Canis lupus familiaris: one gene and its partners. The protein of the gene in region 3 purifies or fractionates together with the protein of the main gene of each other region. This does not show direct contact. Links are inferred from orthologs where the notes say so. Each region holds a gene or a part of one and is shown on either strand. Other genes may lie near its edges.

Evidence for each region.
Region 1: the proteins of DNAJC7 (region 3) and DNAJB1 purify together in Homo sapiens (affinity purification with mass spectrometry; 3 studies listed by BioGRID and IntAct, with this or other methods). This does not show direct contact. The link is inferred for Canis lupus familiaris from reciprocal best matches to the Homo sapiens genes DNAJC7 and DNAJB1.
Region 2: the proteins of DNAJC7 (region 3) and MLF2 purify together in Homo sapiens (affinity purification with mass spectrometry; 3 studies listed by BioGRID and IntAct, with this or other methods). This does not show direct contact. The link is inferred for Canis lupus familiaris from reciprocal best matches to the Homo sapiens genes DNAJC7 and MLF2.
Region 4: the proteins of DNAJC7 (region 3) and BAG2 purify together in Homo sapiens (affinity purification with mass spectrometry; 7 studies listed by BioGRID and IntAct, with this or other methods). This does not show direct contact. The link is inferred for Canis lupus familiaris from reciprocal best matches to the Homo sapiens genes DNAJC7 and BAG2.
Region 5: the proteins of DNAJC7 (region 3) and BAG5 purify together in Homo sapiens (affinity purification with mass spectrometry; 4 studies listed by BioGRID and IntAct, with this or other methods). This does not show direct contact. The link is inferred for Canis lupus familiaris from reciprocal best matches to the Homo sapiens genes DNAJC7 and BAG5.
Region 6: the proteins of DNAJC7 (region 3) and KIAA0100 purify together in Homo sapiens (co-immunoprecipitation; 3 studies listed by BioGRID and IntAct, counting the BioPlex papers as one, with this or other methods). This does not show direct contact. The link is inferred for Canis lupus familiaris from reciprocal best matches to the Homo sapiens genes DNAJC7 and BLTP2.
Region 7: the proteins of DNAJC7 (region 3) and VPS13B purify together in Homo sapiens (co-immunoprecipitation; 3 studies listed by BioGRID and IntAct, counting the BioPlex papers as one, with this or other methods). This does not show direct contact. The link is inferred for Canis lupus familiaris from reciprocal best matches to the Homo sapiens genes DNAJC7 and VPS13B.

The regions. Positions count from the first base shown.
Region 1 is NC_049241.1:48,526,189-48,530,542, forward strand, and holds the start of DNAJB1 (dnaJ homolog subfamily B member 1), read left to right. Parts: upstream 1-1,366; 5' UTR 1,367-1,458; coding exon 1,459-1,669; intron 1,670-2,865; coding exon 2,866-3,446; intron 3,447-3,754; coding exon 3,755-3,985; 3' UTR 3,986-4,354. UniProt on the Homo sapiens protein: Interacts with HSP70 and can stimulate its ATPase activity. Stimulates the association between HSC70 and HIP. Negatively regulates heat shock-induced HSF1 transcriptional activity during the attenuation and recovery phase period of the heat shock response.
Region 2 is NC_049248.1:7,808,570-7,812,855, forward strand, and holds the start of MLF2 (myeloid leukemia factor 2), read right to left. Parts: upstream 2,844-4,286; 5' UTR 2,639-2,843; intron 2,073-2,638; 5' UTR 2,045-2,072; coding exon 1,995-2,044; intron 1,743-1,994; coding exon 1,616-1,742; intron 1,406-1,615; exon of another isoform or gene 1,352-1,405; coding exon 1,316-1,351; exon of another isoform or gene 680-1,315; coding exon 626-679; exon of another isoform or gene 236-625; coding exon 107-235; exon of another isoform or gene 1-106.
Region 3 is NC_049230.1:20,758,489-20,761,899, reverse strand, and holds the end of DNAJC7 (dnaJ homolog subfamily C member 7), read right to left. Parts: intron 1,565-3,411; coding exon 1,502-1,564; intron 1,093-1,501; coding exon 1,055-1,092; 3' UTR 776-1,054; downstream 1-775. UniProt on the Homo sapiens protein: Acts as a co-chaperone regulating the molecular chaperones HSP70 and HSP90 in folding of steroid receptors, such as the glucocorticoid receptor and the progesterone receptor.
Region 4 is NC_049233.1:24,621,557-24,625,811, reverse strand, and holds the start of BAG2 (BAG family molecular chaperone regulator 2), read right to left. Parts: upstream 2,811-4,255; 5' UTR 2,696-2,810; coding exon 2,583-2,695; intron 1-2,582. UniProt on the Homo sapiens protein: Co-chaperone for HSP70 and HSC70 chaperone proteins. Acts as a nucleotide-exchange factor (NEF) promoting the release of ADP from the HSP70 and HSC70 proteins thereby triggering client/substrate protein release.
Region 5 is NC_049229.1:71,721,652-71,725,789, forward strand, and holds the end of BAG5 (BAG family molecular chaperone regulator 5), read right to left. Parts: coding exon 3,559-4,138; 3' UTR 647-3,558; downstream 1-646. UniProt on the Homo sapiens protein: Co-chaperone for HSP/HSP70 proteins. It functions as a nucleotide-exchange factor promoting the release of ADP from HSP70, thereby activating HSP70-mediated protein refolding.
Region 6 is NC_049230.1:42,788,772-42,792,272, forward strand, and holds the end of KIAA0100 (protein KIAA0100 homolog), read right to left. Parts: exon of another isoform or gene 3,161-3,501; coding exon 3,050-3,160; exon of another isoform or gene 2,915-3,049; coding exon 2,779-2,914; exon of another isoform or gene 2,675-2,778; coding exon 2,544-2,674; exon of another isoform or gene 2,371-2,543; coding exon 2,269-2,370; exon of another isoform or gene 1,964-2,268; coding exon 1,829-1,963; exon of another isoform or gene 1,420-1,828; coding exon 1,237-1,419; 3' UTR 630-1,236; downstream 1-629. Other genes in the region: RSKR (ribosomal protein S6 kinase-related protein), read right to left, coding at 165-221. UniProt on the Homo sapiens protein: Tube-forming lipid transport protein which binds to phosphatidylinositols and affects phosphatidylinositol-4,5-bisphosphate (PtdIns-4,5-P2) distribution.
Region 7 is NC_049234.1:1,896,081-1,899,856, reverse strand, and holds part of VPS13B (vacuolar protein sorting-associated protein 13B), read right to left. Parts: intron 2,947-3,776; coding exon 2,758-2,946; intron 138-2,757; coding exon 1-137. UniProt on the Homo sapiens protein: Mediates the transfer of lipids between membranes at organelle contact sites. Binds phosphatidylinositol 3-phosphate. Functions as a tethering factor in the slow endocytic recycling pathway, to assist traffic between early and recycling endosomes.

The DNA of each region.
Region 1 (4,354 bases), on a different chromosome or scaffold from region 3:
TTCTTTCTCAGAAGTCTCAGCTTATACCAGGGCAGCAGTCACAAGAAGTGTTTTTGCTGTGGTGCTGCCAGGAAGGGGGTGGCTGAGCAGCCCATTATTCACCAAGATGGTTAGTCACCCCTTTAAAAGTACTTCCTCTGTGCCAGGTCAGTCCTGCACACCTTGACTTACAAGGCAGGTACAACTGCTACCCCCATTGTACAGATGAGGAAACTGAGGCCCCAGCTGGCTCAGTAACCAGCCCAAGGTCATGCAGCCAGGAAGTGCTAAAAGTGGGAATGAAATCTGCTGCTGGCTCCAGAGCCAGTGTCACACACCCTGACCTCCTAAGCAGTTCTCCTAGGAACCTTCCACCTCAGCCACCACAACTGCCTACCCCTTCTCAGGTGATACCCCATTCTGAGCCTCCCTTCCCCATCAGCCCTTTGACCACAAGCACCCCAGACTCTTGGAGCCAAAGGGGATCATATTGCCCACAAGTGAGGAAACAGAGGCCCTGAGAGGTATATGACACACCCGTGTCCCCCCAAATCATAAATGTAGTGGGGAGAAAAATAAAGCAGGTGCATTAAAAACAGGAATATTTATGAAGCGTCCACTGCGACTGGGTTCCAGATACTGGCAACTGCAGGCTGGGAGGGAGGTGGATTTAGCAAGAAAACCAAAGAACAAGATAATTTTGGATTTCAGTGGCAGGTGTTCTTAAGAGAATACTAAAGTGAAAGGCATGAGGAGCCTTTTTCCCTGGAGGGAAGATCTCACCAGGGCGGTGAGCTTTGGTCCTGGGGCCTCACCTTGCTTTGTAGGAACCCGTATGGTGAGGACAGGCACAGTCCTGGGGCTCCTAATTGTATTCTCCCCACAGCCAGGAAAAGAGGGTGGGTAGGTATTTTTATTCCCCTGTTACAGAAGTCGGGGTGGGGGTACCTAGGGCACCGCAAGGTTAGTCAGCTTGCTCAGAATCGCCCCGGGAGGGGGGTGCTCCGTGAGCAGTGGGCGAGCAGTTCTGTCACCTGGGGAAGGGCGGGGCAGCCTTGAGGGGCGGGGCCGCACGCAGCCCCGCCCCTTCCCGAGCCTCGTGTTGTAACCTGTTGACCCAGGCTCGTCGGCCTGGTCCGAGAGGGCAATGAAGGAAGGTCGCGATTGGCTCCCCGCGAAGTGGGCGGGGCCCCCGCAGCTCGGTGCGCGCGCCGCGGGGAGGCGTTGCCGAGGACGGAGCGGGAAGGGGCGTGGCCGCGCGCGGGCGGCCGTTGGCGGCGCGGCCCCGCCCCGGACGTCGCGCGTCGCGGACTGGGCGGCGGCGATTGGTCGGAGCGGTGCGGGGGGCGGGGCGGAAGGTTCTGGAGGGGGCTGGCGGGCTCTGGAAGCTTCCGCCGGACGGGTATATAGGGTCCGGGACGGGGCGGCGGCGAAGCCGGGGTACGGCGACAGCTGGGCGGCGGGCCGCAGGCGGGGGCTATGGGCAAGGACTATTACCAGACGCTGGGCCTAGCCCGCGGCGCGTCGGACGAGGAAATCAAGCGGGCTTACCGCCGCCAGGCGCTACGCTACCACCCGGACAAGAACAAGGAGCCCGGCGCCGAGGAGAAGTTCAAGGAGATCGCCGAGGCCTACGACGTGCTCAGCGACCCGCGCAAGCGCGAGATCTTTGACCGCTACGGGGAAGAAGGTGCGTGCGCGCGCGGCCAGGGGCGCGCCCCGCCGTTTGACAGGAGGGGAAACCGAGGCCCGGCGGCCGGGCTGTGGCAGCCCCGGGGGACGCCCCGGGCCCGGTGGGCGAGCGGCCCCCGCCCTCCGGCCACGCGGGCCTCCGCCCTCGGATTGGCGGCCGTCCGATGGGAGGAGGAGTCCTGGCCGCGCTGCTTGCCCAGAAGCTTCTAGCACGTCTGCGGTCGCCCCTCCCTAGGCTCCTCCACCCACGTCCCCGAGCAGTGCTGGGGGTGCAGTGCGGACGGAGGGGGCCACTGAGGCTGAGCCGGCCCGTAGCACCGCGCCCTAGCGGGCCGGGGCGCACCTGGGCGGAGGTGGCAGGCCGGGGCGTGCAGGGGGGCCGGGGGGGCCTCTGGCTGCGCGCCGGCACGACCTGCGAGTGGCGAGCCTGCGGGTGAGCGCGCCGATTAGCGCCGACCTCGCTCCGGGGCCCCTGTGAGGGCGGAGTGAGGTAATCCCCGTAAAGTGCTTACCTAACCTGGTGCCAGACACGTAGAAGGCAGCCAGCGCCCGAGCGCAGTCCAGGTGCAGGGAGCGGCGGGACCCGCCTCTGCCCGGCCTCCTCGGCGCAGGCCTCTCAGGCCAAGGGAAGGAAGCTGTCTTGTCCAGTTGCCCGTGGATGACTCAGACTGGTTTCTGGGCTGGGTCTTAAGAAATGAAGTGGCTTTTTATGTAAGGATGGTGGCAATTAGTGCCAGGGTGTGAGAATTTGAAAAGCTGCATTTATGGTTTGGCTTTCACTTGTGCTCCGCACACATCCTTAGCTCCCAAGTATTTCTAAGAGTAAACACTGAGCACAGATTCTGGAGGGGGTTTCTTTTTAATCTGATCTTTTAATGAATTTTTGGTAAGTTTTCATATCCTTGAGGGGAGGATAGGGCAGTCAAGAAGTGGCAGGAATTTGGTGGCCCCTGGAGAGGGCACTTGAGCCCTTTGCCACTGCCCTGGCACAGTGAAGTACCTGGAGGGGGGAGTCCCAACTCTGTTGCTGCAGTGGGGGGTTAAAACCTTAGGGTTTTTCCTTACTCTCTTCTGATAGGCTAATAAAATTCCTCCCCCTCCTCCCCATCATTTATGGTTCTCAAGCTTTTTTCTTTTAGTGAGAGAGAGAGGCTCACTGCCAACCATTTCATTTCTCCTGATTTTGCCTTTCAGGCCTAAAGGGTGGTGGCCCCAGTGGTGGCAGCAGCGGTGGTGCTAATGGTACCTCTTTCAGCTACACATTCCATGGAGACCCTCATGCCATGTTTGCTGAGTTCTTCGGTGGCCGAAATCCCTTTGACACCTTTTTTGGGCAGCGGAATGGGGAGGAAGGCATGGACATTGATGACCCATTCTCTAGCTTCCCCATGGGCATGGGTGGCTTCACCAACATGAACTTTGGCCGTTCCCGTCCCGCTCAAGAGCCCACCCGAAAGAAGCAAGATCCCCCCGTCACCCACGACCTTAGGGTCTCGCTTGAAGAGATCTATAGCGGCTGTACCAAGAAGATGAAAATCTCCCACAAGCGACTGAACCCCGATGGAAAGAGCATTCGCAACGAAGACAAGATCTTGACCATCGAAGTGAAGCGGGGGTGGAAAGAAGGGACCAAAATCACCTTCCCTAAGGAAGGCGACCAGACCTCCAACAACATTCCAGCTGATATTGTCTTTGTTTTAAAGGACAAGCCACACAATATCTTTAAGAGAGATGGCTCTGATGTCATTTACCCAGCCAGGATCAGCCTTCGGGAGGTAGGCTACTAATTAGTAGGGTACAGTATGGAGGGAGATGGTTGGTTTTTGAAGCTGTTGGGTATCTGCTTGACAGATCTTTCTGAGCACTTTGGAGCCAGGCTTGAAGGGTAAAATAAGAGCAAAAATAAGACTGACCAGGGTTCTGTTTTTCCAGAGATTAACATGCTAGCTAGTGACCTGGGTAGATCTGGGGCAGGGTCTTAGCTGCAGGGGCCTGATGGCACTTCCCCTCTATCAAACAGCTTCTGGGCAGGAATTGAGCATCCTAAGCTATTTTTCATCTAACGTTCTCTTTGCTCTTCAAGGCTCTGTGTGGCTGCACGGTGAATGTACCCACTCTGGACGGCAGGAGCATCCCCGTCGTGTTTAAAGATGTCATCAGGCCTGGCATGCGGCGAAAAGTTCCTGGAGAAGGCCTCCCCCTCCCCAAAACACCCGAGAAACGCGGGGACCTCATTATTGAGTTTGAAGTAATCTTCCCCGAAAGGATTCCCCAGACGTCAAGAACCGTACTTGAGCAGGTTCTTCCAATATAGAGCCACCTGTGTCTCCCAAGGACTAACCAGGGACCTTTCCAGAGCTCAAGGATTTCCGGACCGTTCCACCAGTTGTGGACCCGTGAGAGGGCGGGAGGGCCCAGGGAGGGCTTTCGTACTGCTGAATGTTTTCCAGAGAATATATTACAATCTTTCAAAGTCGTGCACTAGACTTAAGTGGTTTTTCGAGCGATAGGGCTGCAGGTGGTGGGGACAGCAGGAAAAGGCATTCCAGTCTGTGCCACTGGGTCCTGCAGCCCTCCCAGGATGGGCGCACACCCTCCCCCAGGCCCTGCCCATGGACCAGAGGCAGACCCACAGCTGGACTTGACGCGTCTGCAGTCCCTTTCCTTGTGGCCGATAGGTGGT
Region 2 (4,286 bases), on a different chromosome or scaffold from region 3:
AGGACAGCAAACCACCCCCAGCCCAGTCCTGAGAAAGGAAGGCAGGGCTGCTGCCTGCAGCCTTCAGTGCTGCCTTCTCTGGGAGGTGAGAAGCTGCCCAACTCACCCCGCCTGGTGCCGAACGCATCTCTGATGTCTCCTGGTAGACCTTGGGGGCGCCATCACCCGTATTGGAGTAGGAGATGACAGTGGAGGATGAAAAGGTCTGGCAATTGCCTCCTGCTGTCATATGTTCCTGAGGAGGAAAAGGTACCACAGGACTGAATGGTCCCTCTGGAGAAGGAATCCCACACCACACTTCAGCTGCCTGTTCTTGTCCCTTTCTCACAGCACGGGGGAGCCAAGAAAATGTCAGGACTCATCAGTAACCCCCAAATTCCTTGGAGCCCAACAATAAATAAGACGGAGCCTTAATTGCACACTTCATGAGACTGCTGCTGCTGCTTCATACTCAGGCATGAGAGCAGATAAGGGAACCCAGTGCTCTCCGGGCTCCATGACTTTATCTAGCTCCAGCCCTTCCTTCACCAGCACACTCTTCCCTGTTCCTGCCTCAAAGGACTCAAGGTGTTGCCAGCTATCACCGAGAACAAGAGTACAAAAGCATATGGGGTAAGAGCCTCACCATGTTCCCAATCATGTCATTCATCATTCCAAACATGTCCATGAAGCCACCCGACTGCAGCAAAGAGATGGAAAACAGAGTCAGGAAAGCACAGTCAGAACTCAGATTATCTTTAGGTACCCGCTAGACAGACACGTGGCTACACATTCCCTTTCTCTTCTTCACATGGAGCCACTGCTCTGTCTCTTCCTCAGCGCGACCAGAACAGGGGGTGTTCCCCTTCACATCTCCCTCCCTGCGCATGCTGCCTTCCTCCTCAGTCTCTACAGCTTCTCTGATCCAATCTGCTTTCTCCCAACTGTCCTATTTCCTCCTATCTTTAGGAAGCACACCCAAGTAAATAGATTCTAACCCACAAAAGGGTTGGGCATAAAACCATAAAAACAGCAACAGCAAACTTCTAAAAGCCATCTCGGTTGGCCCTTCGACTCCATCTCCATCCTCAGAACGACAAACTTTGCTAGGCAATTACATTTTCCTAATAGGTGTGGCTCTTAGAATGGAGGAATCAGTAAGTTAGCATCTTTAACCCACAGAACTCAGCACACAACAGACCCAGAGCTTTATGAACACTATAAAAAGATTTTAGGGTTACCCATAAGGCTGTTCCAGAGAGCCACATTTGGAAATAACATCTAAGGATATAGAGTGTGTCTGAGAATGGAAGGACACGAGGACATTAGGACTCACCATTCCCAGCATCCCAAAGGGGGAGACAGCCCCAGCCTACAGGAAAACATAAAGAACAAATTAAAGACCACGTCCTATGTCACTACAGTCCCAAACCAAGTGCATGGTCTCAGCTTTTTTTTTTTTCTTCCATCCTCCTCTCAAAAGGGGATCACAAAGCCCTTTTGCCAGACCCCTTCCCCAACTCCTAAAAATGATCATTCCACTTGCTAAGTTGGCTGAAGTGCAAGAGAAATCAAGGACTTTATTAGCCACCCTCCAGCATTTCCTTGGGTGTTGGGTATGTCTCGGCATCATTACCTGCATCCTACGGCTGGCAGGCCTGGCCCCGGGCATGTTGCCATCTGTGATGCTGAGGAAGGGGCTGTATCCAAAGCCACCTGACAACATTCGGTTCATATGCTGACGGTGAATAGCAAAGGGGTCCCTGTGGAAGTGAGTATACAGTGTAGATGGCAGAAGGGACAGTCAACACCTTCCTCCCCCACAAAAAAGAAAAGTCCAAGGGAGAAGGTGGCACAGATGCCTATTTCCTCCCCTAAGCTGGAGCTGAAGCAGAGTATCCAGCTAGTTCCAACCAATGCCAGCAATGGGAACCCAGATGTCTGTCTGAACTACTTAGAGACCCGAAGTGGAGTAGGATGAGCGCTCTAGAACAGGAGGGGGAGGGAATACTCACATCAGGAACATGGGATCCTCCGGCTCCACGTCCCTCATGAAGCGGAACATCCTGATTTTAGCTCCAGGGGGCTCCACACTGTAAAGATGTGGAGGCTCAGATACTCGGAGCCAGCCAGGCTTTTGCACACCCGGCTCAGTGTAGGGACTCTGAGAACACTGTCCCTTGCAAATGCTGTAACCGACCCCCACAAACTCCAGTGAGCCCCTTCTCCAGGCGGTGTTGGACACCACCCTCAAGGGAGATTAGGGCTCTTCAAACCTCTCGAGGAGGGCTGTGGAAAATTTTTCCCAGCCTCGCAGTTTTCTGCCTCCCCCACTCAGCCAGCCTCTCCCCGAAGCCCCGGCCAGAAGCACGCCCCCTTCCCCGACGCCACTGCTTCGGATGCGAATCTCGGGGGCCGGCCCTCGCCCCAGCAATGACCCCGGCCACCTCGCCCCCTCCTCACCCCAGCCGCAGCCGGGCCTCCCCCCGGCGGGCCTCACTATCCCCACCGCTGCCCCCGGCCCCCGGCCCCCGCCTCCCCGCCCGGCGAGCAGGAGCGGCAGGCCCGGCCCCCTCCCCTCCCCGCCTCCCAGGCTCCCAGACCCGCAGCTCCGCGGGCCCGCTCCTGCCGCCGGCTGCCCGCGCCGCTCGAGCCTCACCGGTCCCCGATCCGGGCTCAGCGGCCCATCCGGCCGGTCTCGCCTCTCTGTGCGCTGCAGGCTCGGGGGTTGCGGCCCGGGACGCGGGATTGGTCCGGGCTGGCTCTCCTCGGCCTCCCGCGCCGCCTCCTCCCACGGCTGCCACCTCCGTACCCCCCCACGGCCCGCGGAGCCCGAACCGCGGCCAGGCCCGGGCGGAAGTGACGTCACGGGGGGACGGCCCGCCCCGGGGCCGGGCCCGCGGAGCTCCGCCCACCGGCGAGCGAGGGGCTGGGGCTGGGGCCGGGGCCGCTCGGGCGGCGGGGTCCTCGGGTCTAGGGGAGGGGGCCTCATCCCCAGCTGGACTCGGGCCCTGTGGCCAGGAGGAGGCGCCCCGTGGGGGTGCGGGGAAGAGCGGGGCGCCCCGCCTCGTGAGGCTCGGGGCGGGACGGGGCGGTGCGGCACGTTCCCTGCGGGGAAGGAAGAGCCCGGGGGCAGGTGCCGGGGGGAGGGGCGGCTCCCCGCGGGCGACGACGTGGGGCGGATCCTGGGGGGAATATTAAGCAGATTTTCTCCGCCGGCGGCGTTCGGCCCGGGAGGGAGGCAGGGCAGCCGCCTCGCGGGGGAGGCGCCGCGGCCAGTCCTGTCGGGGGGAGGCGAGTTCCAAGCAGGGGCGGGGCCCTCGGGCTGACGTCGCAGGGGAGGTGACCGCTCGGCCCCTGTCTGGCTCCGGCTTCCAGAACTCGGCGGGCGGGAGAGAATGCGGGGTGGGCGGGCCGGCCGCCAGGTGGCGCTCCTCGGCCGGTCTGGAACGGCGGGGCTTCGGGAGCTGCCGTTGGCCCTGCTCCCGGACCCTCGGTTCCTCCGCGCGCAGGGTCGGCCTGGGCAAAGGTTGTCGTTCTGAAATCGTTTCGTGGAATGCCGGTTTCTCCCCTTGCTTTTCTCTCACTGCTGTGTTCCCAGGAGCTCCCAGTCCCGCTCTGATCTTTCCTGCCTCTAGTCAGGTAGGTGGGTCGAGGGTCTAAAGTTTGGGAGAAGGAAGGGGTGCAGAGCTCCGTTAACCAGGATCACCCAGGGGCGGAGCTGGAATCAGACCCAGAAGGCCAGGGCCAAAGACTGAAACTTTGACATACTAAATGTCTTGCATAAAATCTGGCCCAACTGGAGAGAAGGGCCCTCCCCCAGGGTGTCAGGAGAATTTGGACGGTCTACGATGGACTTTAAACCAGACTCATCCAAACTCTAGCTCTCCCTGGTTCTTTACTCTGGCTGCTAGCCATATTAGCGCTCTGTGGAGCCCAACAATGCCAAAGACTTGTTCCCAATACTTCCCTAGGGGTGAAGGAGGACGGGGGTCCCAGGTGACTCAGGAAAAGGTACCGGGAGCAGGGCTTCTCAGGTTTCTTGGGACGCGATCATTATTAGTGAGGGAAAAACAATAGTGGAGACAGAGGGGAACAGTGATAATTTGGAAGCTGCCGGGCTGGCAAAACCAAAGAAAGATAAAGACAGGATAAAAGAAAATTTGCTTTTCGTTGATATTTCTGGGGGAAGAGACTTAGTCAAGTCTTTTAAATTTTTTCTCCAGATCCTTTATCTCTGGACATTCCACTCTGCATCTGCCCCTTTTCCTTTTGCCTCTAAGGCAGTTGACATGTGATCAGGTTTT
Region 3 (3,411 bases):
CTGGTGGAGGAAGACTGGAAAGAATGGGGTTGGGGTTGGGGGGGTCAGAAGGAAGAGAAGCATAAGTTACCTATTTGGTCCATAGTCCTTTCCCAGCCATCTCTGCTACTGAAGTGCTAAAATTCTGAGCGTCAGTCTAAGTCTCAAATCTCTCTGCCAAAAAGATCACTTGCCACGACCACTACACTTGACTTGAACAGCAGGACACTAGTCACTGCTTCCTCATCTCCCACACAGAAGGGACAGCAGTGGATAAGGTGAAGGGTATCTCCTAAGAATGCAACCATGTGAGCTTCAGGTCTGTGCCTGGACCCCTGCGCCCAGGAGCTGTGTTGTCCCACCTTGAAAGGGTCAGGGAGGCAGGATTTTGTCTCCGTCCCCATGTCCCTTAGCCTGCACTGCCAACAGGACCACGAGGGCCTGTGTAAACGTCCTCAGTCTGGGTCAGCTCAGCCTGAGCATACCCAGCCACGCTCCAGGTGTGCTTTGGACACACGTAGCTTCTGGTGGGCGGTGCTGGCCCCTACCATCAGATAACCTATGACTGAGCATTCTCAGGTCTGCTCAGCACTCAGGCTGAATAGGCTTGGGAGAGGTGGCCAGCATCCCCCAGCCATCATGCCCCAGGTGCCCACACCCCTCATGGGCCAGATGCAGAGCCTACAATCCATGTCCGTACCAACTCCGTGCTGGGGGCTCAGCTCTGGCCTACCAACTCTGGAGTGACACAAAGCAGCTGCCAGAGCAAAGTGCCAGAAAGGGTCAAAACATTTTATTCTCTTAATTTTTTTTCTTTTTTAATAAAGTTAAACAGTAAAACAAAAATTCACAAGCTGCCTCCCTGTCCACCCCCCACCCCTCTCCCCTCCCCGCAGTCTTCCGCGCTGGCTCCCTTCCTTCCCCCCACTCACACAGACACAGGGGTATCCAACTAAGAAAACGCAACTGCTCTAAGGACGGGGAGACGAGATGAAGGGAGGAGGTGAGCTGTGCCCACGTTCAAGGTTACATTGAGCAAGTCTGCACTTTCTGGGTTCCGGATGGTTTCCTTTCATTAGCCAAATTGAAAAAAGAAATTCCCTGGACCAGATGCTGTAAGGCAAAAGAAGGGCTTGTTAGTTGGCTCTGCGTGGAAAGATCACTTTGCTCGTTTTCAAGGGCTGCTTCGAACTCCAACAGAAAAACTGCCAGCCTAGGCTCTGGGGTGTCGGGAACATATGAGCACAGCTCGTGTGTAGCTTCTAACATTCACTCTTGCAGAGAAGCCCTGGCACTCGACAGCTTTGAGATGCCTTCCCGGCCATGCAGAGGTGTGGCACTAACAGTCCCAAGGTATGGTGTGCCCAGGAGCCTCCCTGCCTCCACGCTCAACAGCACCTGAGTGGATCGGTACCCTGCTAGATGGGCCTCGCTGACTTTCAAAGAGCTACTATACCTGAGGGGGGAGTCACATTATGGGCCTGTGATCTGGGGAACTCCCGAGAGTGGGAGGCATACCCACCTTCAAAACTGAAGCCCCCAGGACCGCCAAAGAATGCCTTGAAGATATTGTTTGCGTCAAAATCTATGGAGCAGAGCAAAAGACAGGGAAAGTTGGAAAAAGTTAGACATGTCTGAAGAGGAACTTATGATGTGCATCCTTTTCCAAAACCTGACTGTGGGTGGGCATATCTGCCCCCACGTTCCATACCTAACGCTGCTCGACCCCACTTGTAGGACACATTCCCTCCTTCCCAGCTCGGGCCGGAATGAAAGCTTTCTTTGCTTCAACCTCCTCTGCTGGACCTTCATCACAACTGCGATGGCATTTGCACTTATTGACATGAGACACCCCATTCTGTCTGTCTATAATGCTGGGGCTGCTACTGAAAGGGTGAAAATCTAGATACTAAACTAAATATAGGAATACTAACACTAAATATAGGAATAAGATCTAAGGTTTACAGTATTCATTTGATTCCATGCAATGTCTAGACAGTATGACAGGAAAAAAAAAAAAAAAAGCCATGGTTTATTAAGCACCTACCAGGTGCCAATCATGGTGGGTACTCTGCATACCTTACATCATCCCCAATTATACTCAATAAAACCAGACAAAGGAACTTAAGTAACTTGCTCAAGATCATGTGGCCAGTGAATGCAGCAGAAGCAAACATTCCAGCTCTGGCCGGTCTCCAGTGCTGTGGCCTAGTGATAAGGCCACAGCAGGTCTGCTGTCCCCACCTCCACCTGACTTCCTAAGCCACAGAGGATTTATCTCCACCAGTTGGTGCAACAGGCACATTGTATCCAAAATTAAATTCTTCCTTGCCTGTGTATCTGCTCATCTTGGGTCTCCTAGTTCAGTGACCAGCTCCATCAAGTCAGCCACCCAAAGCCACTCAGCTTCATCCTTCCCTTCTTCCAATATGTCAGCAACCATCTCCTGCCACGTCTCCTCCCATTGTGGCCTCCAATCCTGTCCTACCCATTTGTGCTTTCCTCCATCTCCCCCTTCACTGCACCAAACCACCTCTTCACTGCCATCATAAATATACTTCTGGAGCCAAACTCTGGTTCGGAGCTCCCCTACTTAGAACTCTTCAATAGTTTTTGACTGCTTATTTCTCCTCTCAACTGCTGGGCAGAGCAATGTTTACTACTGGTAAACCTAGGTTTTTAAAGTGCACACACACCCTGAACCAGAGAGAGGAGGACTATCTAGGATCATCAATCCTATTTTAAATTCCAATAGATTTTCTTAATGGAGGAGAAAGGCTGGCATTGGAGACTGGTCTGAGAACCACTGCATAGTTCCTATCCTCATCTCCAACGGAGCTCATGGCGAGCAGCAACACTGACAGCTAGCTATGCTTTATTTCATTTTAAGTCTTTGGGGGAAACTGAACTCTGTGAAGCCTGCCACGAATGGGTGACGAACGTAAATCTCAGTCAGCATATGCCCTGCAGTGGGCAGAAACTTCCAGTCCATAGGAAAAGGCTCCTATTCCCTATTCAAGCTGCTAAGGCCTTCTGGTGGGGGAGAGGGAGTTATCCGGCTACTCTGCCTCATATCTCACCTTCTCCTGCCTTAGGCACCCTCTATCCTCTCATACTCAGCCCCTTGCAGCTCCCTGAAGGTATTCTTTCTGCACTTCCAACCCTTCCCTTCCTAGGGCTCACCTCCTGAGTATCCACTCTGCACCCTGGGTTGGGACTCCATATCCGGGGGTCAGAAGTGGCCTGTGAGTCTGGGTGCAAAGCCCAAGACTGGGTTCTCAGAGCTCAGAGACCTGGTTGACTTACCTTTATCTCCAGCACCCATCACAGTACCTCACACATCACAGGTATTCATCCAGGGTGGGTTTTACACATCACTCTGCCTCACTGGTTGTTATACAGACTTCCCTCTGGAGTGTCTTTAGAAAAACT
Region 4 (4,255 bases), on a different chromosome or scaffold from region 3:
AAAAGAGGTGGAGTCAAGAAAGAGGCTAGTGTCATGGTAAAGTATTAGAAACAAATGGAATTCCTTCAACAATATAGAATGCTGCCATACGTGATTAAAAAATCATGCCCACCATTAGGCATAAAGCATTTAGCATAATTCTGTCTTTAGTCTCATATGGAAGAAGGTCTACCACAAGTGATAAAATCAGTTGGGGAACTATATGCAAACTTTAAGTATCAAACTACAGTGTTTTATTCTACCTAAAACAATGCTTTATGAGTCATCCTTAATATGAAATTGAACTATTAGAGCAAAATTACCTATTTGTTTCTTTTACAAAGCTTCTAGGCATGATGCTAGTTTTTAACAATGTGGGGTTCTGTGACACTGCCCATGTAGTTTCAAAGGAACTTTAACGGATCATTAGTATTTTTCTTTATTTTTACTATTTTTACTACCTTTTAAAACACTTCCTTAGATCACAATTACTTTTTACAAATTTTAATTATTTTTTAAAAACTCAATTTCACTTTTTTATTTTATTTTTTAAAGATTTTATTTATGTATTCATGAGAAACACACAGAGAAAGGGAGAGGCAGAGACACAGGCAGAGGGAGAAGCAGGCTCCAAGCAGGGAACCAGACATGGGACTTGATCCGGAGGCTCCAGGATCAGGCCCTGGGCTGAAGGTGGCGCTAAACCGCTGAGCCACCTGGGCTGCCCTACATTTTTTTTTTTTTTTTTTAAAGGAAGAAACAAAGCTTACAAAAGTCTTAAAACTACTAAAGAAGTCCTTAAAATGAGCAATTAGCACATTTTAGTCTTTCCTCCTCAGCTCAAGGGTTAATTAAGCAAGTCATAATCTAATCACTGGTATAATAATCAGTTCACTTTACATTAATCAAACATTAGAATATACGAATACTCAAAACCAGAGGCCTTCTTTTAAAGATGAGTACCTGACTGCTTTTGTGTCTATCAGACACGAGATGTTCATTCAAGTTTGAGGGGAATGACTCAGCTTGAAGAAGGGAGGGGCAACGTTCCTCATTCCTTTCAGAAAAAAATCTTTTCTGATAGTGCCAAGAGAGCCCTGAAATGCTTCGGAACACATCAAAGTTCTAAACACCTGGGGAGATGTGTAAGTTACTTGTAATGTGCTGCTACACCAAAAGAAATATTATTCTTTGGGGCGACATTAAGTAGCTGAAGCCACCGATCTCTAGTTTTGTTCCACTTTCTCTGGGGAGTAAATGCATCAAGCTCAACCCAGGGGAAGCATTACTTTTTCTCTGGTTCCATATGTGTCATTCTGGGCAGAACCCTAGAAGGTGGTTTTGGACTGCGGTTTCTCTATCTGTTGTCATCCACAAAATCGTTGTGGATGGAGAATTTCTCATTTTCCGACTCTTCTCTCAGGGTAATAATAATAATCATAAATGCCTCAACTGCTGAGATATATTGTGGTTATTAATGCACTGTCCTGGCAAATAAACCCCTCTTCTTGCTTTGGTATATAAATTGAGGGAGATAGACATGCACGCGCTGCTTCTTAAAATTTTTGGCTGACGTGCTTCCTTGCTCACCCAGAACCCGATGAAAACTACGGGGGGGGGGGGGGGAGGAGGGGGGAAGAATCGGTATGGCCTCAGGGGTTTGTGGAGTCTTAGTAAGATTTTGACTTATCTACACCTGCACACCATTTACACAGTAACTTTGGTGACAAACTCTTAGAGGAAGTACGTGAAAGTTTTTTCAGACGCTGTTAAGGGAAACAATAATTTCCAAAATTTGCTGTTCGTTATTTAGAAATTGTATACAAGCCTAAGTTAAGGGGGGGAGGGGGAAGAGTAAAAAAAAAAAAAAAAACCTATCTTATGCTTTCAGGCCAATGACTAGCACTTTCGAGAAGGTGTCTTCTAAGGAAGGAGGTACACAATAAATAGCGAGAAACTAACAGAATTTCTGAATTCAGTTTGCGGGGTTAGGGGGGAAATGGAAGCCGCAGGGTCTTCCTCCACCAAGTGCCCAGCCGCCGTTCACCCCGCGGCCCCTCATCTGTCCTACTCCTCCCTCTTCTTGCTCTCAGACAGATTTCTAGATTTTTACTGTTTTTTTCTCTCTCTCTGTGTTTTGGAGCAAAGAAACTTATCAGTCACATGGGGTGGGGGGAACCCCTGAACTATCGCCTTTCCTACAGATGCGTAGTAGAAAAAGAGAAGTTAGAGACATCTGGGGGGAACCACATAGCGGCACTCAGAAAATTCTAGACCTTCAGTAGACCCGGGGTGTCACGGGGTGTCACGGTCTCTAACCTCAGAGAACGCCACCGTAACTCTTACCTTCTGTGATCCTCTCAGTTCCCCACAGCCCAGGTCTGTTCAGGAGAATGCGGCCACCCTTCCCGCGCTCACAGGCTCTCGCTTGGGTCGAACGCGCTTTCTCTGGCGCGGAGGCGGCGGCCCCCCGAGCCGGGCGGCAGCGCACGGTCCCCGCGGGGAACAAATCTCAGGCGAGCAACTTCTCCGGCCGCGGCCCGCCCGCCGCGCACGCGCCCCCCGCCCTGCCGCCCGCCCGCCCGCCCGCCCGCGCCGCTCACCTGAGCTCCAGCTGGTCCAGGCTCTCCAGCAGGCGGCTGGAGCGGTCCGCCATGGAGGAGGAGCGGCAGAAGCGCCCCTCGTTGGCTTTCGCGTTGATCTTGGCCTGAGCCATCTGAGCCTCCGAGGCGGGGGCGGCCAAGAGGTCACCGGCCTCTCGGGCGACGTTGAGTGGAGAGTCCGGCGGCCGCAGGCGTCGCCGTCACCGCGCGGGGCGCCCGCCCCCCTCTGACGCCCGCTGGGGGGCGGCCCGGGAGGACGCGCCGACACCGCCGCTGCCGCGTGGCCAAACAAGGACAAGCGCGCCGCCCGCCGGGCTGGGGGCTGCGGTGCCCGCGGGAGGGCGCTGGCCTCGGGGCCTCGAGGGTGGGCCGCCCGGGCCGAGGCCAGAGGAGACGCGCCCCGCGGCCTCCGAGGCACCTGGAGGGGCGGGCGCGGGCAGGGGGCCTCACGTGACCGCCGGATCTCTCTCTCTCTCTCTCTCCCCCTCTGTCCCGACCCTAGAACGACCGAAAGCCCAGCGGAGACCCACGGAACAGCCCCCTCCCCGCCCCCGGGAACCGGGACTCCGTGCGGCCTGAACGTAACCACCTCCCCCCCCACGGAGGTACCTGACGGTAGGCTGTGGGTAATGACCGGGGCCGGCTTCGCTCACTTTCTCCCAGCGCCCATCATTCGTGTCAGAACCCAAACCATTAAAAATCCTTTGATATGGGAAGAAAAGGATAGCACTTAAGTACAGCTCCCAGGCAGTCTGGGCTTGCCTCAGCTTGTTACCAGTCCCTTTTCTGAGGTGGAAATAATGAAAGCCTGGACACCACTACTGAGGCTTACAGGGGAAAAAAGAAAAAGCTATCCCATCTTTCTTTGACACCCAACTTATTTAAATCTCCTGTAATTTAAAAAAACGTGGCACGTTACTGGGGCATATACTATAAAGGTCAGTAAGAGCAGGACTGGGAGCACAGGTTTATGTACTTAAAAACTTGCGCTTTGCTCTCATGTCGTTATAGCTGTACGCCTTATATTGCAAGGATGAGAATGAACTGCGCGCATAAAATGATAATAACACTTTAAAGCTGAATCACAACCTTTTTATCTGAGATCAAAGCCATTTAACTACTTGAACGGAGACAGGGCCTTCAGCCTGGATCCCAGTTCCCTCTGAATTCAATCTACATACTAATAAACTATTTGTGTAAGGTATTATTTGACTTCATTAAATATATTTTGTCATTATCAGGACACAGACTTGGAATCCAAAGATATGCTGGGAATGGTTTGAAAGTCTATCATGTACTTTTAGAATTATCTTGGATTCTTTTTCTCTCTTATCCTACAGATCCAATCCCTAAGTAAATCCCCTCAGCTCTACTTTTAGAATATACTAGGATTCTTCTCCCCAGTTCCACTGCTACCACTCTGGTCCCAACCACCATCAATTTTCACCTGCATTTCTACAACACCTTCCTGTCTGGTCTTCCCGCTTCTACTCTTGCCTCTGCTGTGTGTGTTCTCAATACAGTAACTACAGTAATACTTCCAAATAAGCCAGATCACACCACTTATTCTCAGAAACACAATCTTTCCCTTCTCTAATTTTCCTTCATTAGTTACCACCACTGGACACATTTACTTATGATAATGGAGAATACTCTATCCAACCCTCTTTCCC
Region 5 (4,138 bases), on a different chromosome or scaffold from region 3:
TAGGACACGTCTGCGGGGCTGAGCGGGCCGCCCCCGCCTCCGGGTGATCACCACTAAGACCTCCGCAAGAAGAGACAAGACGGCAGAAACGTGCTCAAACAAGGCTAGAAGCAGCGCAAGCAAGGTGCTGCTTTCATGTAACAGGCGTGCAACAGGCAGGAAACTGCCCCAGGTGAGTGGGGGCGGAACAGGGAGGCGGCGGGGGGCTCAGGGGGCCCCCAAGGACTAACGGGTCAGAAATACCAACTCTCTGCTAATGAGAAGGCAAGTGTCAATGGCAATCTTAAGTGAAGCCTTGGTGGTGGGGGGGGCGGGGGGCAGTTCTTGCCACTTTCCCTGCTTCTCTACAGTGAGGTCAACCCCTGTGCGCCCGGCTGCATGGGCGCAGCGAGAGGCCAGGCCTCCCCTGGGCTGTTCCCTGCTGCCCACACTTCAGGTGTTGCTCACATGGAACAGTGATCCCTTCACCTGCCACAGGACCCTGGTCTGTGCTCAGGGCTGCCACCTCCTTCCCCCACTGCCACCAACTGGACCTGGGGAGCCCGCCTTCCCCAAGCCTGGCCCACTTTGCCAAGACATTATTCCTTACCCGGGTCGGACAGTAAATGAAGGTGAATCAGAACAGAACTCACACCTCAGACTCACATCCTTTCTCACCGCAAAGATAAGCTAAGAGATTTTTATTGCATTAATAATTAAGGGTATACTAATATCTCAAAATACTGAATTACTTCAGACATACAATTACAATAGTCATACAATGAATGGAGGGGGGACAGGAGCCAACACGCTGGAGTAACACATCTGTATTGTACATCAAAATCAATGGCAAACACTTCTCTAGTTACTCTTAGAAAAATACTAGACGCGTTAAAAGCTGAAAAGCTTTGCTTAAAAACAACCTATATGTACAAGATAAGCTTTGACCCTCAAAAAACAGATAAAAATTGGCAAAAACAAATGAGAAACACTGGTTAAGCGTCTCGCAGTGCTGACCTGTATCAGATACACTACACCAAGGCATCGTAGCAAAATAAAGCATTCCACTGTACTTAGTAGACTTATTCATTACATTTATTTTCATAACTGCTTCTCTATAGGGCGATGGACTTTAGTCTAATTTGGGTAAAGACTGACCTGAAAGCAAAGCTGTCTGCATGTGAGGTAAAGAAAGCAAACATTCCCAGCCAGTTTTTGCATGAACATGGATTACACCGTTTAATGCAGACCCAAGGCCAGACATTTTTTTGGGGGTAGGTTTTATTTCCATTACAGGTTCTCTTTACGTAAGATCATAAAAATACAATACAATGTCATGAGCTCAACTTAGTTACAAGCGGCAGGCAGCCCCTATTAACACAGCTCCCAACGAGGGACGAGAAAAGCTAAACCCGGTGTCACTAGGGTTCCTTATGGGAGAGTCACCCGGTGCAAGGAACTACAACAGGTTGGACAGGAAACGTCATGCCTCAGATCACTCGAGGATGATCTGATCATCTCCATGACCAAAATAACCCACAGGAGAAGTCTGCGATGGCTTGTGAGCTCCCTCCGCTCACGGGCCAGGCTCCGGGCCGAGCTCAGCTGCACGAGCCTTCTCTAGGATTGCAGAACGCCTTGTTTGAAAATGAACCATATGGGAAGGTCCCTTTTGGAAAAACAATGGATACTTTTAAAGGAAATGCTGACATTTAACTTTTAAATCTGACATTGAAAATGAAGTAGAGCCTGGGGCAGGACATGCCTGACGAGCTTGGGAGGAAAGCCTTGCCTTCCCAGTGGGGTAAACTGAGGCAGCACTTGAATATAGAAACTCCAGGATTTTAAGAGCACCCAAAGATGAGGATACTTAGCCCAAAATGAGCTGCCAGTGACCTGCACTAAGAATCTCCAGTTGCCAAGGGCTGGATGTGCACATGGGAAAGGGTCGAGGCCCAGAGACACAAATGCCCTTGGACTTCACTACCCACTGAATCGTACTAGAACATTGCTAGTAGGAAAGACACATCAAGGGCTTTTAATTATTGGGCAAAGCTGAGACAAAGTGAAAATCTCTTTAGAGCCACGCTTTTATCATCTCTCTGGTACATGGGGCTATTTCTAGCTGCCTACAGTTACCAAATCACGATCTTTGAAAGGAAATTACAGACTGCTGCGGAGTCCGAAAGACATACTCTAATAGGATTATTTTGTGAAAGGTGACAACAGAAAGTGTCATCTGTTCGTTATCATACTGGGACCAATGTGTTATCAAGGCACTTTGGAACTTTGGGAAATTCTGTTCCCATAAACTGGCAGCCATAAAACTTGGACCCTCAGAAAGCATTTACAGAAATAGATGTACCCTTTAGCAAGTGAAAAAACACTTCCTGCAGGGACAGACCTTCCTGACTCTTTCAGGTGCTAGAGAAACATCCGAGTGCCAATGAAGTGAGCTCAGTCCCAGAGTGCGAGGTTTTCAGATGCTAGGAGCAGCCGACCTCCCCGGGTAAGCCACGACGCTCTGGTCCCGCAGAGCTACTGGCGGTTTCTGCTCTTGGCCACTACCAAACAGCACTTGCTGTGTTTAAAAGACCCTTGAACAAGAGAGGCAGCCTGTTGCCTCCTACATTCAGACGCATTCGCTCAGGACAACCTGATAGCGGTAACTAATCTCCAGTTTTATCTTGCCAGAGGTATGGCTGTTTCTTTTTTCTTCTTTTTTTTTTTCTTTTTTTTCTTAAAAGGTCTCCTAACTTCACTAAAATGTTCCCATCCTTACTGATGACTACAGAAAATTGTAAACTGAGTTTACAAACAAAAACTTGGAAGGTAATTAGCTGGTGTTTTCATCTTTCTTCAATGCAGTCTCAAAGGTTTTTTTGCTATTAATTTTCATAATTTTCTTACGTTGCACATGAAAATAAGATTTTCCCCTCTAAATGCAGAGTGTAGGGGGAAAATACAGACACCATTTTCCAAACAAAAAATCTTTATGAAAAAACAGAAAATCCGAAAACAAAAAAACCCCCACCCGATTAACTTGGGTTGGACCAATCGGGCCTTAAAAATGAAGAAAAAAACAAACAAACAAAAACCCTTCTGCTTTATTTAGCATAATAAATCATATCATTGTATTGCTTTTGTGTTTGGACCTTACTTCTACCTAACCAAAATTTCCCCTCTTCTCATAATTGTTCTAGTGCTCTGTCAGGTTGTGTGTGTGTCTAGATCCTGAAAGATCCACATTTCAATGCTGGCACAACCCATTTAAAAATGACAAAAGATGCCCGTTCCACTTTCTGATTGGAAAAAAAAAAAAAAAAGGACCAAAAAACCACACCACAACATACAGATAATGATCCAAATGGAAAAGTTAACGTGCTGTAATGACATTTGTTTTGCAACATCAAAAGCAGCAGAGATACTGTATATAATTTGCTTAAATCATAAAAACGGAGATTGAAATCTGCATGTATAAATCACATTTAGGCTCAATGAACTGAAAGCTCTCTATAAATACATAGAAGTATATATAAAGTGCAAAACAAGAAATATCAACCGTGAGATCGGTACTATTTAGTACTCCCATTCGTCGGATTTCAAGTCGAGATAGCTGAGGATGTTCTGGGCGAGCTTCACTGCCTGTTTCCTGGCAGCCTTGCACTTCTCTTCCCCTTGCGGGTCCACGGCATCCAGGGCCAGCAGCTGCTTGGTGAGCAGCTCTTCCAGCCGGATGTAGTTCTTATCAGTTCGGTTCCCATCAAATGAAAGAACTTCCCCCTGGATCTCGGACAAGTTTCCAAGGATGTTCCAGACTGCTTTATGTGACGGGTGCTCCTCACTAGCAAACGACTTCCTCTTCTCCAGGGCCTCCTTCAAGTCAATGTAAGTTATAAGGGTTTGTACCTCAATCACCGCTCTTCTCCGAGCTTCCCGGATGCAAGGGTTCTTCTCAAGACTGACCTCATCCAACTGTCCAATCAAACCCTGCAATTCTGTTTTGGAGCTCAGGTACAATTCAGCAGGATTTTGTGCTTGCAGAAGTTCATTTTTTATTTCTCTCATTCTCTTGAGGACCTTTTCTATTTTTAAAATGGAATGATTCTGTCCCAGGTCAAATGCATGTGTAGTATCTGCTTCCTCTTCCAAATCCAAA
Region 6 (3,501 bases), about 22 Mb from region 3:
AGCCTGTGCCTCTTACTATGGGGTTGGGATATTTTCACAGCATAGCCTCCTGTTCCACCTCCACTATGGGCATCATTAACATTCTCCGCACCAGTCAGTTCCTAGGCCTTAAGCCCATACCCCTTCACCTCCCCTAAATAGGCTGCCAGAGCCCCACAGCCTACCTTATGAGAAGCAGCCACCGGGGCATGTTGCCCCTGCCGACAGCTCACTGTTCCCATTCAAAGCCTCTGCTTCCTCTCTCCTCCTGCTAAATCTGCTGTCTGTTACATAAGCAATTCCTCCCCTTATGCTACATTACACATGAGCCCCGCCTCTTCCTTGTTGTTCATGACTAGAGATGCAAATTGCTGCAGCCTAACCCCACTCTTATCCTCAAATCCTATCCCCCACCCCCACCCCAGTTATGAATAGGCTCATAGCCAGCACTAAAATGTGCAGAGACCTATTAGGGGGCCAGCGTCAAACCAGAGCTGGGAAGTATCCATGATATAGTTTCACAGGAGGGAAGAGGCCATCCTCAGAGTAACAGCTAAAGGATATGTCTTGGGTTGATGGGGAGGGACGGACACAGGTTGAACCCATATGCACTTAACACACCAAAAAAAAAAAAAAAAAAAAAAATCAACTTTAAATATATTTTTCTCTTTGTTTTCTTTCCATTCTCCAGGACATACCCCAAGGGGACCCATGGCCAGCCCTGGCACCTATTGCCATCTTCCCAAGTGAACTTGGCACAGATTGAAAAGGGGCTGATTTCCCCCCAGAACCCTAATACCTCTCATACAAGGCAGTGAAATGAGGAACAGATCAGCTCCTCCCCTCAAGTTTCCAGCACAGAGGGAGAGCAGTTACACTTAGAAATATATATTTATGTATTTATATATAGGTCTATAAAAATTTATCACACTTGATCAGAACTGTCCCTCCCACCCTTTCAGTTGCCCCCAAGGGAACCAGATCCTGATCCTGGACCCATTCCCTGGGTCTTGCTCTCTTGATGCCTCTGGCCCTTGGCCTGCTGATCAGTGTGAGGTAGAACTCAGCATTATTATCCACCGTATTCTGCAGGGAACAGGCCAGCTGTTAAAAAAGCACTGCCTCTCTCCACAGTACCCCGTGGTCTCCCAACCCCCCCAAATCCTGATAGGTGAAGGGAGACGCCTCCCACCCCACAAGTCCCTGGGGCCTGAGCCAGAGTCAGATCCTGTACTGCAGCCACTCTTGGATGCTGGATCACTTGCGCCTGCCAAAGATGGACTTCTTGCCAGGGTTCTTGTTGCCCACACTTAAACCGATGAGGAGCCGGGCTTTCTCCTCCTCTTCTTGCTGCTGCATGTTGAGGTCTGATTTAGTTTCTAGCTTTCCTCGGACCTCAGACCCTGTTGCAGGCTTCAGCCTTAGCTTCTCTTTGATTACCTAATAAGTTAGGAGAAGGGAAGCATTAGTGGGATAAGCAAAATAAATCAATGTGAACCAAATCAATAAAGATTTATTAAGCTTACATGAAGACACAATGGGGCAATTCAAATTATAAAATTATCTCTGCTGTTAAGAAGCTTACAGTCTAATTAGAACCCATTCTGAACCTGAAGTTGCATCAGCCCTCAGTTTCCTAAAAATCAACAGTAGTTAACATATATGAAACACTCAGTAAACATTTAATTTAGTCATCTGACCAAAGTCATGGAGAGGGCAGCTCACTTCATTCACCCGTCCATTCCCAAGGCTGCTTGTCCTACATATGTCCTACAATGAAATGCTCCTGAGCCCAGGATCTGTTTGCCAGCCCCTGCTAACCAAAGAGCCATGAATTCTGCCGGGATACCTGGGCAACTAGGGCTTTGCGGCTGTCCCTCTTGACAGCCATGGCAAAGTCTAGCCATGTCCATGTGTTGTTATGGTACTCCAGACAGGGCAGCACCAGGTTAAGGTCACCCCAATCCACACTGTTTTTCTCACCCTGCAAGAGAAGGAGGGGAAGAGGACAGAGAAAAGAAGAATGAAAAGATACATTAGCTGCCATTTTTAGTTCAAGCTAGTACTTGAGTCGGAAGTCTAGTACTTTCCTACAGCAGCAATTTACAGATACTGATTCCCCTTACCTCATCCTGTAATGGTTCTGACTCCTGAAGGCAGTAGAGGGAATAGCAGATTATCACCCATAGACCAACTTCACAAACCAGATTGTCCATGACTAACTTTAATCTCTGATCTTATCTGGCTCCCTTCCCACCCTGTTCTAGAAAGTACTAGGGAGGAACAGACCTTGTAGCTGACACACAGAGGAACCTGTGGAATCTTTATGTAGATGAAGGAGTTGTTCATGGCAGCTCGCTCTTTCATCTTGTCAATATCATCCACAGGGTGCTAGGAGAGGCAGGAAAGGAGTGTGAGTCCCTGAAACCATCAGAAGAAACTCAGGAAAGGAGATGTCTCCATCTCCTTTCATCCCTGGAAAAGACTGAAAACATCCCCAGCTGGCCCAAACAGAGAACCTCAGGACTGTCCCATCTCTCCATGATCAGGGGCATGTCTGGTACCTCAGGTACTTTCCGAAATGATCTTCTGACACCAGAACTCCGGTTTAAGCCTTGTGCCACACCCTTCCCAGGGCCCAGTGGTGCTGCATCATCTGTAGCAATCAGCTGCCGAGGCTTCACCACTGGTATTCCTATGAAAATGCAAGCATACCAGCTGCTATCCTCTTTTTGAAGCTTTAGCTATCTCTGGGGCCACTACCCCAGTCTTCTGGAGCTCCACCATAAAAGTTCTCACCAGTAGTCACCAGTTTGGACTTATCTTCTTCATCACCAACCTCATCATCTTCCACACTTCGGCCAGGAAAGAAAAAGCCCATTATTCTATGAAAGAACTGGTGTGTCAGCTGGATGGTGAGAGGCACCACATTTACCTAAAGAGGAAAAAGGCTGAAGAAGCAATTAAGCTCAGATATCATCCCTCAGTTTACCTACCCCTAACATAGTATAACAACACACAGCTTTTGAGTGCCCTTTGTTTCTGGATCCCCAAAGGACTATATATTAACCTCAAAGTGTTCCTTAACAGAAATACCCCCAACAGGGGGCCGGACTTTGCTGAAGAGGCGGAGGGCGAGCTGTCGCCCAGACTGGCAGGAACTCTGGGGCCGCAGGACTACCTGTAGGATAAAGAGTGATAAATCAACCCACAAATCCATGCAGACTAAAAGGAAAAGCAATAGTCTTGCTAAGCTGGACAAACGTTCAACCTCTCAGATCACCACACTGTTTCCCATATTGGATTTATGTGGAAGGGCCCTTACAAATGGGCCCCTCCCTGTGTTAGGGGGCGCCTGGGTGGCTCAATCAGCTAAGCATCTAACTCTTGATTTCAGCTCATGATCTCAGGGCTGAGATCAAGCACCACATTGGGCTCCATGCTGAGCACAGAGTCCGCTTAGGATTCTCTCTTTTCTTCTCACTCTGCCCCTCCCCTCACTCATGCTCACTCTCTCTCTCT
Region 7 (3,776 bases), on a different chromosome or scaffold from region 3:
GAGTGGGGTTTGGAGACAGATAACTGTGGTTTATAGAATATTTGATATGGCATATTATTGATTATTATAGTCTTGTCTTCAATCTGAATAATTTGTATACCCTGCTGTACCATGGAGGAAATGCAGAATTGACATAACTGCAAGACAATTGAGGAAAGAATTTTTAAAATATCATAAGGCCAAAAAAATGTTATAAGGCATATAACACTTTCTTATTTTTATTATTTTTAAAGGTTTTATTTATTTATTCATGAGAGACACACAGAGAGAGGCAGAGACACAGGCAGAGGGAGAAGCAGGCTCCCTGAGGGGAACCTGATGTGGGACTCGATCTCAGGACTCTGGGATCATGCCCTGAGCCGAAGGCAGATGCTTAACCATTGAGCCACCCAGGCATCCCAACAATTCCTTATTTTTAAAAGCTCATTTCATCTGTTGGTTTGTCCAGGATAGTACCAATTTTAACTTGTGTTCCAGAGTATTTACTGGAGGCCCCTCTCAGCCTCAAAAATGTCCCAGCCCCTAAAAGGGGCTACTATTTACAACAGGGTATTCTAGAAAACCAGTTATTTCTGGTGCTATGGCATAGTGAGAGAGACTTGTTTTCAAATTATTTAACCCATTCTCTCACAAAATATTTAATTATAAACTCTTCTATGTAAACAGATGCCGTTCATCTTTTCAACATAAAAAATTCAGTTAGGCATTCCTCCTCATCTTCCTCATGCTCATCACGGCAGCAACCTTGCCTAAGGTCTAGTAGGGACCACCAGGTGTTTTGAGAACTTTACCAGTGATGATGATAAAAAACAATGGTTGGCCCTCAGAAATTGGTTTCTTGTGCTCTGCTTGTCATAAGTATTTATGCATGTTAAGTCACAGAATCCTCACATAACCCACACGAAGCAGCTATTATTATCCCCATTTTATAGAAGAGGGAAATGAGGCTCAAACCAGTGAAGTTACTTGCCCACGGTCATAAGGACAGATGGGCTAGCTGGGATTAGAAACCATGCAGTCTGACTCTACAGTACTGCTCTTAACCTCCACAAGGTTCCCTTACCAAGCTTTATGAGGGTCAAGTGCTCAGAGGAGAATTAGTTGTCTAAAGATACCCACTTAGTAAGTGGGAATGTCAGGACAGCAGTTCTCCAAGTATGGCCTGGGACTCGTGTGTGTATGTGTGTGTGTGTGTGTGTGTGTGTGTGTGTGTGTGTGTATGCGCACATGCATGGGGTTTGAGATCCTTTCAGGGGGTCCAAGGGTCAAAACTATTTTTATAATAATACGAAGATGCTATTGTCTTTTCCATTCTAATTGTCTCATGAATGTACAGTGGAGTTTTCCAGAGGTTATATGACCTATGATGTCACAACTGTCATGGCTAACATAATGTATGTGTGTTCTTGCATTCTAAAGTCTTTGTATTAATTTCTTGTTCGATGGATGTCAGTAGTTATAACCCACATACACAAAAGGATTTTGGAGGCCTATAAGGATTTTTAAGAGAGTAAGGGGGTCTTGCGATTAAAAAGAATCACTAGCAAAGAATAATGAGATATAAATATATATTATTATGTAATAAATAGTAAATATACTATTTCCAACAGTCCATTCATTCACATTCATTCAGCACTTGTTGTGGCCACTTTGTGAGGTGCTGGAGGTATTGGACTGTATATCATGACATTTTTTCCAGGTTTTGATGGTCGTTCTCAACTTACAACTATTCAGCTTTGGGTGATTCACGCTTACAGCTCTTTGCCATTTACACCCATGTTACAGTATTTTGGCTGGCAGCACATAAACATGTGTTGCCCAGACAACTCTGAGGAAATGGATAACAGCCCTGAATACTGAAGAGAAACCAACGTCTTTGTATCAGAGAAATTTTATTTTAAAAAGTCACCAATAACACTAACTTTTTGCAATAGGCTCTTCAAAATACCTGTCAAAATCTAACTTCTCCCCAGAGAAAGGTCATTCTGAATCATGCTACTCTGATGAGGTAGCCTATCTTCTGATTTGGGGGTGTGTGTGCTAAAATTGCGAAGATATTATTCAGTACAGCATGAGACCGCAACATGGTATGCTATGATGTTGTGCTGCCATCCATTGAGGATAATGTGATTTGTTACTATATCATTCAACTTAATTGGTTTTCATAGACTTTAGAAAAGATTGATGCTGAAAATGACACACCGTTTGTATTTAGTTAAATAACTGATGAAATAGGTTTTCTGTATTCATATCATCACGAGTATCAGTTCTCTGTTTAGGAATAGAAGTCCCTCATAACATTAGGTTCTATGGGAAGATCAGAATCGATTCTGCTCAGGATGCCCTTTCCAGAAACTTAACATTTGCTATGGGAGGTTTGTCCTTTCACTCGGTGCTCAGAATGTTAGCAACTCTACTTCTTGCTCTAAGAAAAGGAGGCCAAGTATAATTTGTGGATATTTCGGAATAAGTTCATTTTTCCCCCACATACGATCAATCAAGTGACTTCTGAGTGTTCTGAAATAGAGCAGTTATTGGATAAATTATGTGACATGGCTTTTATCACTGGTAAAGGAAAAAAATAAAAAACAAACCCTGTGAAACTGAGAGGTCTAAGAAATCGCATGTCTCACTGTTATACATTGTCTAGAGCATGTAATACTAAAAAGGGACTAGAAAGAAAAGGGTAGACTCATCTTAAACAGCTTGAGGGGATGGCATGCTATTTCCCCGGAGCCACACAGACTTTGATCCTACCTTCTGATGTCCTGGGAAAGCACCAAGCCTTATTTCAGCATCAACAAACCCTTCTTCATCCAATGACACAACTTCACCATTACCTCCATCTTTCCACTTTGGAGATGTCAGATTATGGACCAGTTTAATTGCTACTGACTTGTGCACAGTGTTTGTATTTGCCCAGTATATTCCAATTTGAAAAGCCTCCTGGAAAAACAATGCCTCAATTATAAAGTATTTATCTTAACTTGGATTTTTTTTACCTCAATTCACAGGAATTTTTTATATTATATAATAGGTCTACTTAGGCAACCAAATCCCGTTATGAGTTTTGTTTTTGTTTTTGTAATGGCAACATACATTTTCTTTTAGTTCTCAATGTTTTCTTTGATTCACAATGGGATTCATATTTATGGAAGGGGGGAAAACCCCTTCACACAAAGACTTAAAAATGGAGGGTTTCATTTCATTTGAGTAAAGAATAATATGCAACCTTAGGTACATGTAGGTTAACATTCCAATTCCATAAGGTAATATCATCTGATTATTTAAAAGAAAAAAAAACACACAGGAAAAATGCAATTGAATAAAGATGTTCATGAACTACAGCTCAAAAAAGAAGACTCTCCAATTGTTCCCCACCAGGAAAACATTTTGTTTAGTAATTCCTTGTATTCTGTTTTCTTAAAGATATATGTGCTTTCTTGAAATGGGTTAGCCTTATCAAGAAAGTTCTCTTGTGATGGAATATAGTCTGGCTGTGAAATTCTGTTTTACATTAGGGTTCCACCCCCTCCCCACCCTGTGTTAGTAATGACTCCACATTGTTATTATCAACAACTGGGTGGACATCCATGATTATGGATATCCAGGTCCACTTATAAGGGAAAAGGGGCTCTGACAAAAACAGTTGCTCAGAAATCTTCAATTCTCTTCCATCTTGTAGATCTCTGAGAATTTTTGTAAGAACTGCAAGTTTATCTAGGCAGTGGGGTTAGCACAGAATATGGCTCTATATCCTTAACATACTCTGAGGA